3 linked regions of the Coturnix japonica genome follow. The protein of the gene in region 1 purifies or fractionates together with the protein of each later gene. This does not show direct contact. Links are inferred from orthologs where the notes say so. Each region holds a gene or a part of one and is shown on either strand. Other genes may lie near its edges. The genes, in order: PRMT8, EWSR1 and HNRNPU.

Region 1 (4,449 bases):
ACTATGAGGTTTTTGGAATGATTTGGTTGTGAGATGTTTTGACCATTTGTTAAATGTTTTTAACTGTTCATCTCTCTCTCTCTAGATAGTATTTTTCACATCATGCCTATCACCAGCACATCAAAGTACTTTAGAAAATTCAATGAGCATCAGATTCAGCATATTTGTGAAATCCCAGTGGTTTCAAATGAGATTTATGCCACTTCCTAATTTTTCTCCTACACTATGACAAATCCAAATGTAAGGTGCTTTGTTCTGCATTCCTTTTGTCAAAGAACATTTGCTAACTTAGAAAAATGAAAAAGAAAAATATGTTAGGGGAATAAACTGGTATCTTAAGGCTTCACTAAACATAGATGCTTGACTAGTGAAAAAAGCTTCAAAGGTATTGGCAAATTTTGTCTGTGCATTTCTAAGACATCTCAGAACAAAAGAGAACTTAAAGTCACTAAGATGAAAATTAATAAAACAGGAGAAATATTTTTGCAGGTATTATGAGTATATGCCTCTTGGTTTTCTTAAGACACAGCAGAAGGCACCTAATCTACAATTTTCACTCATCATTCTCAGTTCACAAAATTGTCATTGTTTAGAAAATCTTCATAAAAGCACATTGTAGCATTGCACAAACATGATGAGGAATTTAAGCAATAAAAATGTACTAACAGTGAGTTGAAATACAAGAACAATATTTAAAGAATTTTAATTTTTTTTTGTCTGCTGCTTTCTAAAGACAGATCATAGAGGAAAAGAGCTTTGATGGGAAATGTTCCTTGCAATATCACCAAGGAACTTGGGACACTTAATGCGATATATCCTGTCAGTACTATAACAGTTTTATTGATGTGCAGCTAGATTTCATACTACATATACACACATCTCCTGCAAACAGCACTTTACTTAATGCAATATTAGGTATGCTCTTTGATTTAATGCTCACATTAAACTACTGAGATAGCTCTGTTCTTCACATGGCATAGCAAATAAGGTATATTTATGTACATCGGACACATATTTCTTAACAGAGGAAACACTATACAAGGAGTAATGTTGGATTCATAAAGGTGCAGAGCACTTACTGTGAGGACTATTTGAAAGCAGGAGACATTTAGCAAAGACCTTGAAAGGAGAAAGGAGGGAACAGTCACATGCTCACTCACCCTGGAGTGGTGCTTTGTTCTTTATTATCTGCAGGGCAATGGGGAGGAGAGCCAGTATCATCTGTGCATACAAGGACAATGCAGTTGAACTTAATTAGGGTACAGTGTCCTTGGGGGTCCACATATGGCTATGCTGCATATAGCTTAACAATATGTTAAATGTTCAGCCAGTCTCAGGCATAGTCTGTTAATAGAAATGGGCGCATATTTGCACATTCACCTGTCTGCTTCTCACAGGTTCCCAAAGAAACTGAGATTACATCCTGCATCTTTTACTTTTTCAGAGCTGAGATTTTGCATACTTCTGTAAAATTTAAGAAGACTCAGCGAGATCAAGACAGCTCCAAGGAGGCAAATGAGGGTTGCAGCTGAATGAGAAAAAAAAAGGCTGAAGGAAGCTCAGGTCAGACAGGCGCTTGGGGAAATGCTCTTCCTGTCCCCGAACCGTGCTCAAGCAGTTTCGCTGTGATATCCGGGTGCTGCAGGGAGATTTCTCTCAGCACCCCCACGCAGCCCTGACACTGCGTCGTTTCAGTTGAAAAGCACCAGGAGCTGACCAAGGTGCTGTACAAAAATCCCTGTCAGCCTCCTCAAACATGCAGTAACAGCCTCCTCCTCCCCCGCGCCCCCTCCCCCCCCACTCAGCGCCGCACAACCTCTTTTTTTCCCTTTCACGGTACACGACACAAAACGTCTCTTCCAACCAGCCTGCAATGACCCACCTAGCCTTCCGGGGAAGAAGTCATACCACGGATGCTTCCCGGAAGCTGCCCGAGGGACTAGACAGTCCATCCGGGAGCAAAGTTCTCTAACAGCAGTGAACGGCGGCGAGTGGGAGGGAGTGAGGGGAGGGGGAGGGGGGTCTGAAGGGAAGAGAAGCGCAGTCAGGAAATCATAACAAAAGAGGCAGACAAGCCAAAGGACTCAGGAAAGTTCATCGTCAGTTATTACTGCTTCTGCTGAGGGAGCCCAGGGCTGGGGAAACTGGGTTACAGGCTTTGACTTGCGTTCTTACCTCAGTACTTTCGGCACTGTTCTCCGCCATTTTCCTCCTCAGGAGCAGGCAGCGGGAGGAGTGTTTCATTCCCATAAGAGCTAACCACGGGGTTGGGGCTTCGAGATTGGTATTTTGTTTTGTGTTTTCAAAGATTTCCAAATACAGGTTTTCACCAAAGGGAGGAAACTTCTACAGAAAACAGCAATAAATCAGTCTTCTCTGTCCGTTCTAATTCACCCAAGAGACTATTTGTCGTCTTTTGGCATCAGGAGCTCCTTGGCACTTTCAAGTATTTTCCTCTCACCTCCACCTCCAGCAAGCTTTGGGAATGGGCAGAGAGGTGGCACGCACTCTTCAGGTTAAACTAATGGGCTGTCAGTCTGTGAGTCCACCCCTTCAGAGAAATCTGTCGAGCTAAACAGGAGAGAAGCACCAGCTGAACTGAACTTGTGCATGCAGGGACCAGCTCGGCATCTTTGTGTCCTGTGGGTAATCTTCCAGAGAGAGAGGGAGGCAGAGATAAAACAGCAGAACAAGGAAAACATAGCCTCTTACTTTCCTTTTTTGGACTTCTTTCTCTCTGGGTCTTCAGAAAATTTCTTTTAAAGATGGTCACACATTTGCCACTGTCTTTCCATGAAAAAGTACGGTAACCTCCTCTCTCCTTTCCATTTCCCTTTCTCTTCGCTTTCTCCTTTCTCCTTCCCCAATCTCTCCTCCCCTTCACCCCTCCCTCTCTCTCCCTCATTCCCCTCCTCCTCCCTCTCCTCTGCCTTCTCCTCCCCTTTTCCTTTTCATCCTCTCCCTCCCCCCTCCCCCCCATCACTCATCCCATCCTTCATTTTCTCGACCCTTTCTCCTCCTGAGAAATACTTTTTGTTCGTCTCTGAAAATTGCATTTACACGTCTTTCATAGGAAAAACACTATGTCAAGCTCCCCCCAACTTGTTACCTACTCCCTCTCATATACAAGCATGTTCCCTCATTTTCTGTCCCTCTCATACAGACATGTTTTGTTTTGTTTTGTTTTTTCTTGGTTTTACCTCCCTTGTGTTGCTGTGAGCAAGGGTGAGAGGGGGTGTATTACATAATTAATCCTTTCAACTTCATATTCCACAGCTCGACTTTCAGCCCACTGTTCTCATGGTTTTGTTTTGTTTTTATATAGAGGAGGTGAGGAAATAATGTTGGTGTGTGGGTGTGTGTAGCTTGCAAGATTTCAAGGACCAGAGCAAGACTGCTGCTCTCTGAAGAGTCTGAAATCATTTCCTCTGCAGGTGTCAATGGAGACTTGAAAAGATTGCTTTCAGTGCATTATTTTAAGCACATATCCAACTCAGATGCTACATCAGAGAGAAATTTGAATTTGTTGAATTTTTGTCCCCTAGAGTCTATTTTTAAGTATTTTAATTAGAGTTTATCCTGAGCTGACCACTACAATACTGACCTATCATCAGCTAGTGCATGAGTACCCAGCCTTTTTTTGCGTTGCCCGGGCTACGCAAAAAGTGATGGTGGTGATGAGGAATTGTCTTGGGTGACATATAAAATACATAGGGTGCTCAGAAAGAAGTGCCTCCTATTTATTTCCATAGAAACTACAGCAGATACAAAAAACACAGTAAGATTATTTGCTAGAGAAAATTCGCAATTACAAAATGGTTTTTTTTTTTATACATTCACCATGATCAGTTATGCGTTTTCACCAATGATAAACTAGAGCCTACATACCGCACTTATAAAAATCTGCACCAGTGGAGGTAACTTACTGCCACTGTCACCTCTGCTGAAACACACCACCACCTCACTGTGCTAGCATCCACTGTTTGGTCTCCATGAATGTTCAGCAAGCATTGATGAATGTCAGTTGAGTACAATTCTTCCCACATGAAGGAATTCAGTTATGCAGCTTTGCTCATACACGCTTCCCAGTCAGGTGCTATTTTGTTAGACTGTCCTTCTGCTGCCATCTGTTTCACATGGAAATAGAATTTAACAAAACGTTGGTAGGAAGATTCAACCTCTACTGACATACCACCAATATTTACTTCTAATATTGTTGACCAACATCATAAAATAGGAGGCATTACTTTCAGAGCTGTCCTCAGACATGATATAATTCATGTATATGCAATAAAACCCAGAGAAGCTAAAGTATGTAACATGCTGGTATGTCAACTGACAGTGAGAATATGACATGTAGGATACAATGGTGTTGTATGAAATATTTCAGAATGTGAGAGAATGTTACAGAGACATGTGCCACACAGCTTGATAGCGAACCTCTACAAT
Region 2 (2,933 bases), on another chromosome or scaffold:
TGCACGGAGTCCATAATCACGTGGAGCAGAAGGGCAATCCCAACACATCACACCCCATACTCACCATCGAACCATTCCACAGCTGTTTTGGCAGTGGATGGGTCATCATAAGAGACCGTGGCATCTCCTTTCGGTTTGCCAGTTTCTTTGTCAATGTAGAGGTGTATCATGGGCTGCCCAGTCCTCTTGTTCATCTAGCAGGACATCAAATCATTTATAACAAGTCACACATCCCCGTATACACCGAGTGGGGGCTCTCCCCCCTGTTCTGCTTTTGATCTGAGCTAACACTTCCACTTAGCAACTCCGTGGCAAGAGAAATGGCCCTCTGGCTTACCACACCAACAGCCACCCATGGCAACCAAAAGCAGGAACTGGCCCAGCAGCCTCTCCTGCAGGCTCCTGTGAGTGCAGGAATGGAGCTGCAGCCTCCCCACATCCTCCTCCACTCTCCCCACCGCCCTGCGCTCAAGCTGTCACACATCCCACCCGCAGCAGATCCACAGACGGATGCTTCCTGAGTCTGTAAGCACTGCTGCTTCTGCATGGCTGATGGAAGTGCACAGAGGGACAAAGCTTGATGAGGATCTTTTGGGGAGCTTGTGCTACAGGGCAGCTCCAGGCTGTGCTGATCTCACTGCCCATCAGAGCTGCCCGGCTCCACAGAAGGGGCTGAATGGGACAGTGGGCAGGGAGGAGGCAGCCAGCTCCCTTCTCTGTGCTCACCTGCACACACACGTTCCTCTCACCTTGACAACCCCGCACTGTTTGAAGAAGTCTGCCAGATCCTCCAGGGTCACGTTATCATTGAGTCCCTGCACATACACTGAGCTGTTGTCCAAGTCCTCATCCAGGTCTATAGGTGGGCCTAGGAGACAAATCTCAGGGTCAGGCAGTGGAAGAGGCAGCGATCCAGCAGCACGTCACCCCTCAGCCAGCTGCAGCTTCTCTCTCAATAAGTGCATTTATGAAGCGACATAGAACTGAGGCACTCCAGGAAACCCCAGGCACAGAGAGCAGTGCTAAGGGCTGAGCTCTCTGCTGCAGCCACCCAGCATGGCCAGGGCACCATGCAAGACCTCTGCAATGGGGCATGAGCGAGACCCAAAGGCACAACACACCCCTGCATCCTCCAGGTCCCGCATGTGGATGCTCACCCCTCCTGCTGCTATAATCCCCTCTTTCCTTAGGCTGATGGGGAACTACCAAATGTGTCTGTGCAGGAGGAAGAAAAGGGCCCCAGGTGGGGGTGGCACAGGCTGCCCATTGAGGTGGTGGGTGGTGCACCATCCCTGCAGACAGCCACAGGTAATGGGGCTGTGAGCACTGATGGAGCTGTGGGTGCCCCTGTTTGTTGCAGGGGGTGGTTGGGTAAGACGGCCTTTAAGGGCCCCTTCCAACTCAAACCATTCTATGATCTTATAAGGAGGAAGGAGACTGCTGGACAAGTGCCTACAAGCTCCAGACTGCTGCAGCCTGGAACGTGCTTTCTGCTGCTCCAGGCAGCCACACAGCAGCTCCTTGGCAAGAGCCCCCTGGCTCCATAGAGAAGCACAAGCATCTCACAGACACGTGTGGGCTTCCACCAGTCCAAGCGCTCTGATGAACCAGGAATAGAGAATCAGATGAAACAGCCCCAAAGAGACTGCAAACAGCAGAGCACCTCTGTACTTGGGTTATGGGAGGGCGAGATACGGGGCAACATCTTCTGCCAGCTGAGATGGGCACAGAAACCTCCACGCCAGCAGCCTGGGAGGGGTGTGAGCAGTGACAATTACCTAAGTCAAGGTCCGGTCCTTCCTCCATGTGTCCTGCCAGTCGGGAGAGAACCATAAGAAGCAGTGTTAGTGCAGGCCCTGCGGGCTGAAGGAGCGACACACACATCACTATCTACTTATAACCACCATTCGATGGCGCTGGTTAAACTCCAACTGACCCGCACTGCACAATCACCAGCAATGCACCTCTACGTGGCGACCGGTTCGCTGTTTTTAGCAGCCTTTCCATCCATTAACCACTATTGCGTGGGGTTGGTTTTTTGTCTTAATGCTTTACCAGGCCAATCCGTTTTACAGTTGGTTAATCCAAAAGTTACTTAAGAATTATCAAATCCAAACCATTTCTTTTCCCCCAATTACAGAAGTGGTTTCTCAATGCTTCCATATCACCTGTAACCGCGTACCCCTGGGCATGGCCGGCTCTACCCATTACAGTCTTGTTGCATACGTCATTTTTAACCACTTAAAACTAAGACAAATTACACTTTATTTTTTTCTACAGACTGACTGCAATTGGTTTGTTTTATTATCATTATTATTTATTATTATTATTATTCTTTTTTTTTTTTTTTTTTCCGTTAAACACTATCCATTGTAATGCTCAAAAACTTACCACCAGGCTTATTGAAGCCACCTCGCTCTCCAGCGCTGCTGGGGGGATAAACGAAGAAATGAAGGCCTTTCCCTTTACAAAGCCAGTACCGCTCTGAGCCTCTGCGGCTCACAGGGAAGAAGGGCACTGGCTAAACATCTCCAAACAATGCATCTGTCTCTCTCTCTCTCTCATCTCGTCACTATGCCTTTCTTCAGGGCAGCTCGCTCAAATTTCCTTTACATACACAACCTCGCTTGTCTGGTTCTAGACACCACTTTGCTGTCGGTACCCTTCCATTACTTTGTATTGGTATTAGCAGTGCAATACTTGGCAAAAAGAAAACAACCACCAAACCAAACTGACACCCATCCGTGAGCGTTGCAGATCAATCCCTGTGATCCAGGGCTGCCCGCTGGTCGCTCCCTCCCTGCGGCGTGTTCACAAAGTGCACCCTCAGCCTGCCGGGACCCTGACATTAACAGTTCAAAAGGGAGGAGATGACCACACGCGATGCCTACAACACAGTTCCGATGACATTCCCGCTCCAACCTCGGTATAAA
Region 3 (3,649 bases), on another chromosome or scaffold:
TGATGCCAAAACAAGTCATCACCCTCAGAATAGCTACAGCTGTTTCTTGCATTTAAGAATTCAATAGTGTCATTTAAAATGGAACAGCAGTTTTTTCCTCACCCTAACCTTAAAAGCTTTATGCTACTGGTTCCAGATTCTTGGTGACAAAATGCTGAACACTTCTAGCTAAAGACATGAGTAAGTATTCTTAAACCCTGAAAACCTGTTTGTGAATCAGTATACCTGTAATGCAGTTAGTCAGAAAGGCATTTCTGAATTAAGTCTCCAGCAGCACTTACCCCTCCCCATTTTAAAGGGAGTTTAGCAGACATTCAGCCTATGCGACAGCTGAGGATGAAGCTGCAAGGAACAAGCTAACAGCAAACGTCAAACACAAGAACTCAGATGGAATTTAAGTACGTATAACTAGAAAGTTGCTGCTATCAGAATACCCCTATTCGTACACATTTTTCAGACATATCTCATCAGCAGCTATTAGTTAAAAATACAGTAATTATCTGATCCCACTTATCTACTGAAGTTGTTTTTTGTTGTTCCAGCTGTTTAGAAATAAGACTCCCCAACTCCAAGAGAATAGTAACACAATTATCTACGAATTTTCCTTCTATGCGTAAACCTTATAATCTCAAAATCTTAAATAGTTAACCTTGTTTGGTCCCAGTACTAAACTTCCACAACATCCATTAATAACTCAAAACCCCTTTTCAAAACACACGGGCTACAATCGTTCAGTTTTACAGATGCTTTTCTGTTAGTCAGACAGGAAAATTTCAACCACAGACAATATAACACAGAAGAAAAACTTGAGGTCTTACCGAGCAACATTCCACTTGTGTTCAGCGACCAGCCAACTCGCACCTCATGTATATCAATGTCTTTTGTATACAGGTGTTTAACAGGAATCTTTTCTGTAACCTATTTTTAAATTATTCATTAAAAGTTATTGAGTGTTTTTTTCTAAGATCCCAACAAGAAAGAAGCAATGGTAACATCCAGAACCTTTATTCTCTGCTTACATCTTTACAAGTCCAAATAACAGTTTTTTTGCTTAAGTACAAGACTTAACCATGCCTGTGAAATCACAAAGCAGTCACTAAATGTTCAAATCCCTTGACTGACGGAGATGCAAAACATCACGTACCTTCAGAGCACTTAATCACAGCATTCTCTTGATAGTCAAAAATATCAACCCTCTTGATACTGCGTTAAAATTACAGCCCGCAAGGAATATAATCAATTAGAAACTCTGCTACAACATCGGGATTAACAGCGAATTGCTTTGCCAATAAAGTGTGGCATGAGATGAGAACACTTCTCCAGACAGACCCAGGGAAATACTACACCCTTTTCCAGAGAAAGCAGAGATCCCAGGCAAATTGCCAACTACCAAACAACAGAACCAGATTCAAAAACCTCGCCTGGGAGCACTGCGAGCTGGAGGCAACCAGCTCCTCTAATCGCCTTGTAGAAAATAGCATCAAATTTAAGTGGGGAAAAAAATCACAGGCCACTGGTTTCCACAAATATTTGAGTCATGTGACCAAGGGAAAGTCTGAAGAGTAACAAGACAATAAATACAATGTTTCATGTTCTTGTCCTCCCAGAGTTACAGTCACCAATGAATGGGATCACTACCAACTCATATGTGAGCAGTTAACATTTGGAAGTAGTAAAAAAGTGAACAGAATAAGCACATGTCCACACACATCTTCAGCAAATAAGGCTTTAACGCTGCTAAAAATCAAGATGTTTGACTTTGTGACTCCTGATTTTCTTCCTTGACAAGTGGGAGGAATCTGTTTCTTGTAAGGCTGATTGCCCTTTTCCATTCCAACTCAAAAGTTTGGTAAATCCAAACTTCTGTAATCTTCATGAAGTAAACACAAGTGAGCTCCCAACTACTATTCTAATTCTTTATGTTCTGGTGCATCAAGTGCCGCCTAAAATTCTCTGTTTAAAACTATGACAGTAAGTTACGTTGTCATGTCAAATGCAGCTTTATTTTCAAGTTAATTTCTTAAAGAGAGAAAGCAGTTTAGCAAATTAAGGCATCTTTCATTGAGAGCCATTTCTCTGCATCATTACATAATGCTTTCTTTAACATCTAACACTGAAATATAAACACTGTAATATTTAACACCTAAAACAGCCTCCCACAAAAATGAAAGTCTTACCTTCATCTCGAAGCAGACTTTGCCTTTAGAAACTCCATAGGAAGCTCTCCCCCCAGCCCAAAGGAAAGCAAAGCTTTCCATGGTCAGTGAGGAAGCACTAAACCGGTCTCTTGAGATTTTAAAATGCAGGTCACAGTTATCTGTTAACAAAAATTATTGCATACTTCAGTTTAAAAAACAAAAGAAAAGCAAAACAAACCCACAAAAAAGAAAAGCTAAACACCAACAAAGCAAAACTTTCTCATTTCATGCATTAAAAGTGACTCCAGTTTTCTAAGGTGATTTTAAGCTGCCATTTGGTAAAGGCAGGAGGACAACTGGACACATGCCAAAGAACTGAGGTAAATGCAACTAACAACAAACATGATTTGCATGGTGCCATCTTCCACTACTAAGTTCCCAAGCTTTAATAAATACTTGGCTTCCATCTCACCTATTTCAACCTTTTTTGTCAGTTATCCAATGCAGTGTATCTGGAAGATGCATGCTGCTCTCAGAGCTACTTGCTAGATTCCTTTTTGTCAAGCCTTACCCCTAATGTCTGAAAGCACTAAGTACAAACACGGGTATTTCTGTTTAAGTACTGGAAGTAGTACCATCTTCAGGAGATATACAGTCCTTTAGCCAAGTCCAATTAGATTAAGCCAATAAAATAAAGTCAGTTAAGTGCAGATAAGCACACAGCACATGGTAAGTGAGCTCATTTCGTGTAAAAACAAAAACCCAAACCAATCATGATCTGCAGCATGAACTCAACATCCTGACAAAACCCTAGGAGCCTTAAATGGAACCTCTGTTATATAGACATCTTCGGGACTGCTGCACTGTAAAGTCTCAGATTTATCTTCCAGTAGCTTTCAAAATGACAACACAAAGTGGGAACGTGAAGTGCAGGATATGGCACTTGAATCCCCCAGAGTAAGGAATCCACAGAAGAAACTCTGAACCTATTTGACAGTTACAAGAAAGGTGTGAAATTAGCAACCAGAGTATCTTCCGCCTTAGCAGAAAGTCTACATGATGCCCGCACATATTAAACTGCAGTTGTCCCTGTATTACTGGTAATTCTCAAACAGGAGATCTTGTTTGCACAAAGCCATCTGTGGCTATAGTTAGGACTTAAGCATTCCCATTAATACTTCTAGTTGTAGCAGGAAAGCCAAACAAAAGCAATCTGCAGAATAAAACAGTGTAGGTTACTTTTAAAGCAACACACAACAATTTCTAGCCAAAATGTTCTTCTAAGACACAAGAAGCACTTAAGAGCACTAAACCTCTTATACATGGATTGTCATAGTCAAGAGAGCCAAGCTGTTATACAATTCACTCTTTAAAGCTGTGCTTGATGGGGTGCTCCCAACAGCCTGCTGACACTTTCAGTTACTGTTTGTGGGTAACAGAAATTTCTACTAGATACAATAATCAGAAGTAGCTACCAGTCAGTTATTGGGAGAGTTAAGGACTCCCACAAA

The links.
Region 2: the proteins of PRMT8 (region 1) and EWSR1 purify together in Homo sapiens (affinity purification with mass spectrometry; 3 studies listed by BioGRID and IntAct, counting the BioPlex papers as one, with this or other methods). This does not show direct contact. The link is inferred for Coturnix japonica from reciprocal best matches to the Homo sapiens genes PRMT8 and EWSR1.
Region 3: the proteins of PRMT8 (region 1) and HNRNPU purify together in Homo sapiens (affinity purification with mass spectrometry; 3 studies listed by BioGRID and IntAct, counting the BioPlex papers as one, with this or other methods). This does not show direct contact. The link is inferred for Coturnix japonica from reciprocal best matches to the Homo sapiens genes PRMT8 and HNRNPU.

What each region holds. Positions count from the first base shown.
Region 1 is NC_029516.1:68,075,390-68,079,838, reverse strand, and holds the start of PRMT8 (protein arginine N-methyltransferase 8), read right to left. Parts: upstream 2,886-4,449; 5' UTR 2,251-2,885; coding exon 2,176-2,250; intron 2,006-2,175; exon of another isoform or gene 1,883-2,005; intron 1,222-1,882; exon of another isoform or gene 1,161-1,221; intron 1-1,160. UniProt on the Homo sapiens protein: S-adenosyl-L-methionine-dependent and membrane-associated arginine methyltransferase that can both catalyze the formation of omega-N monomethylarginine (MMA) and asymmetrical dimethylarginine (aDMA) in proteins such as NIFK, myelin basic protein, histone H4, H2A and H2A/H2B dimer.
Region 2 is NC_029530.1:9,960,516-9,963,448, forward strand, and holds part of EWSR1 (RNA-binding protein EWS), read right to left. Parts: intron 2,430-2,933; coding exon 2,392-2,429; intron 1,812-2,391; coding exon 1,779-1,811; intron 869-1,778; coding exon 750-868; intron 195-749; coding exon 65-194; intron 1-64. UniProt on the Homo sapiens protein: Binds to ssRNA containing the consensus sequence 5'-AGGUAA-3'. Might normally function as a transcriptional repressor. EWS-fusion-proteins (EFPS) may play a role in the tumorigenic process.
Region 3 is NC_029518.1:31,199,370-31,203,018, reverse strand, and holds part of HNRNPU (heterogeneous nuclear ribonucleoprotein U), read right to left. Parts: intron 2,318-3,649; coding exon 2,178-2,317; intron 919-2,177; coding exon 819-918; intron 1-818. UniProt on the Homo sapiens protein: DNA- and RNA-binding protein involved in several cellular processes such as nuclear chromatin organization, telomere-length regulation, transcription, mRNA alternative splicing and stability, Xist-mediated transcriptional silencing and mitotic cell progression.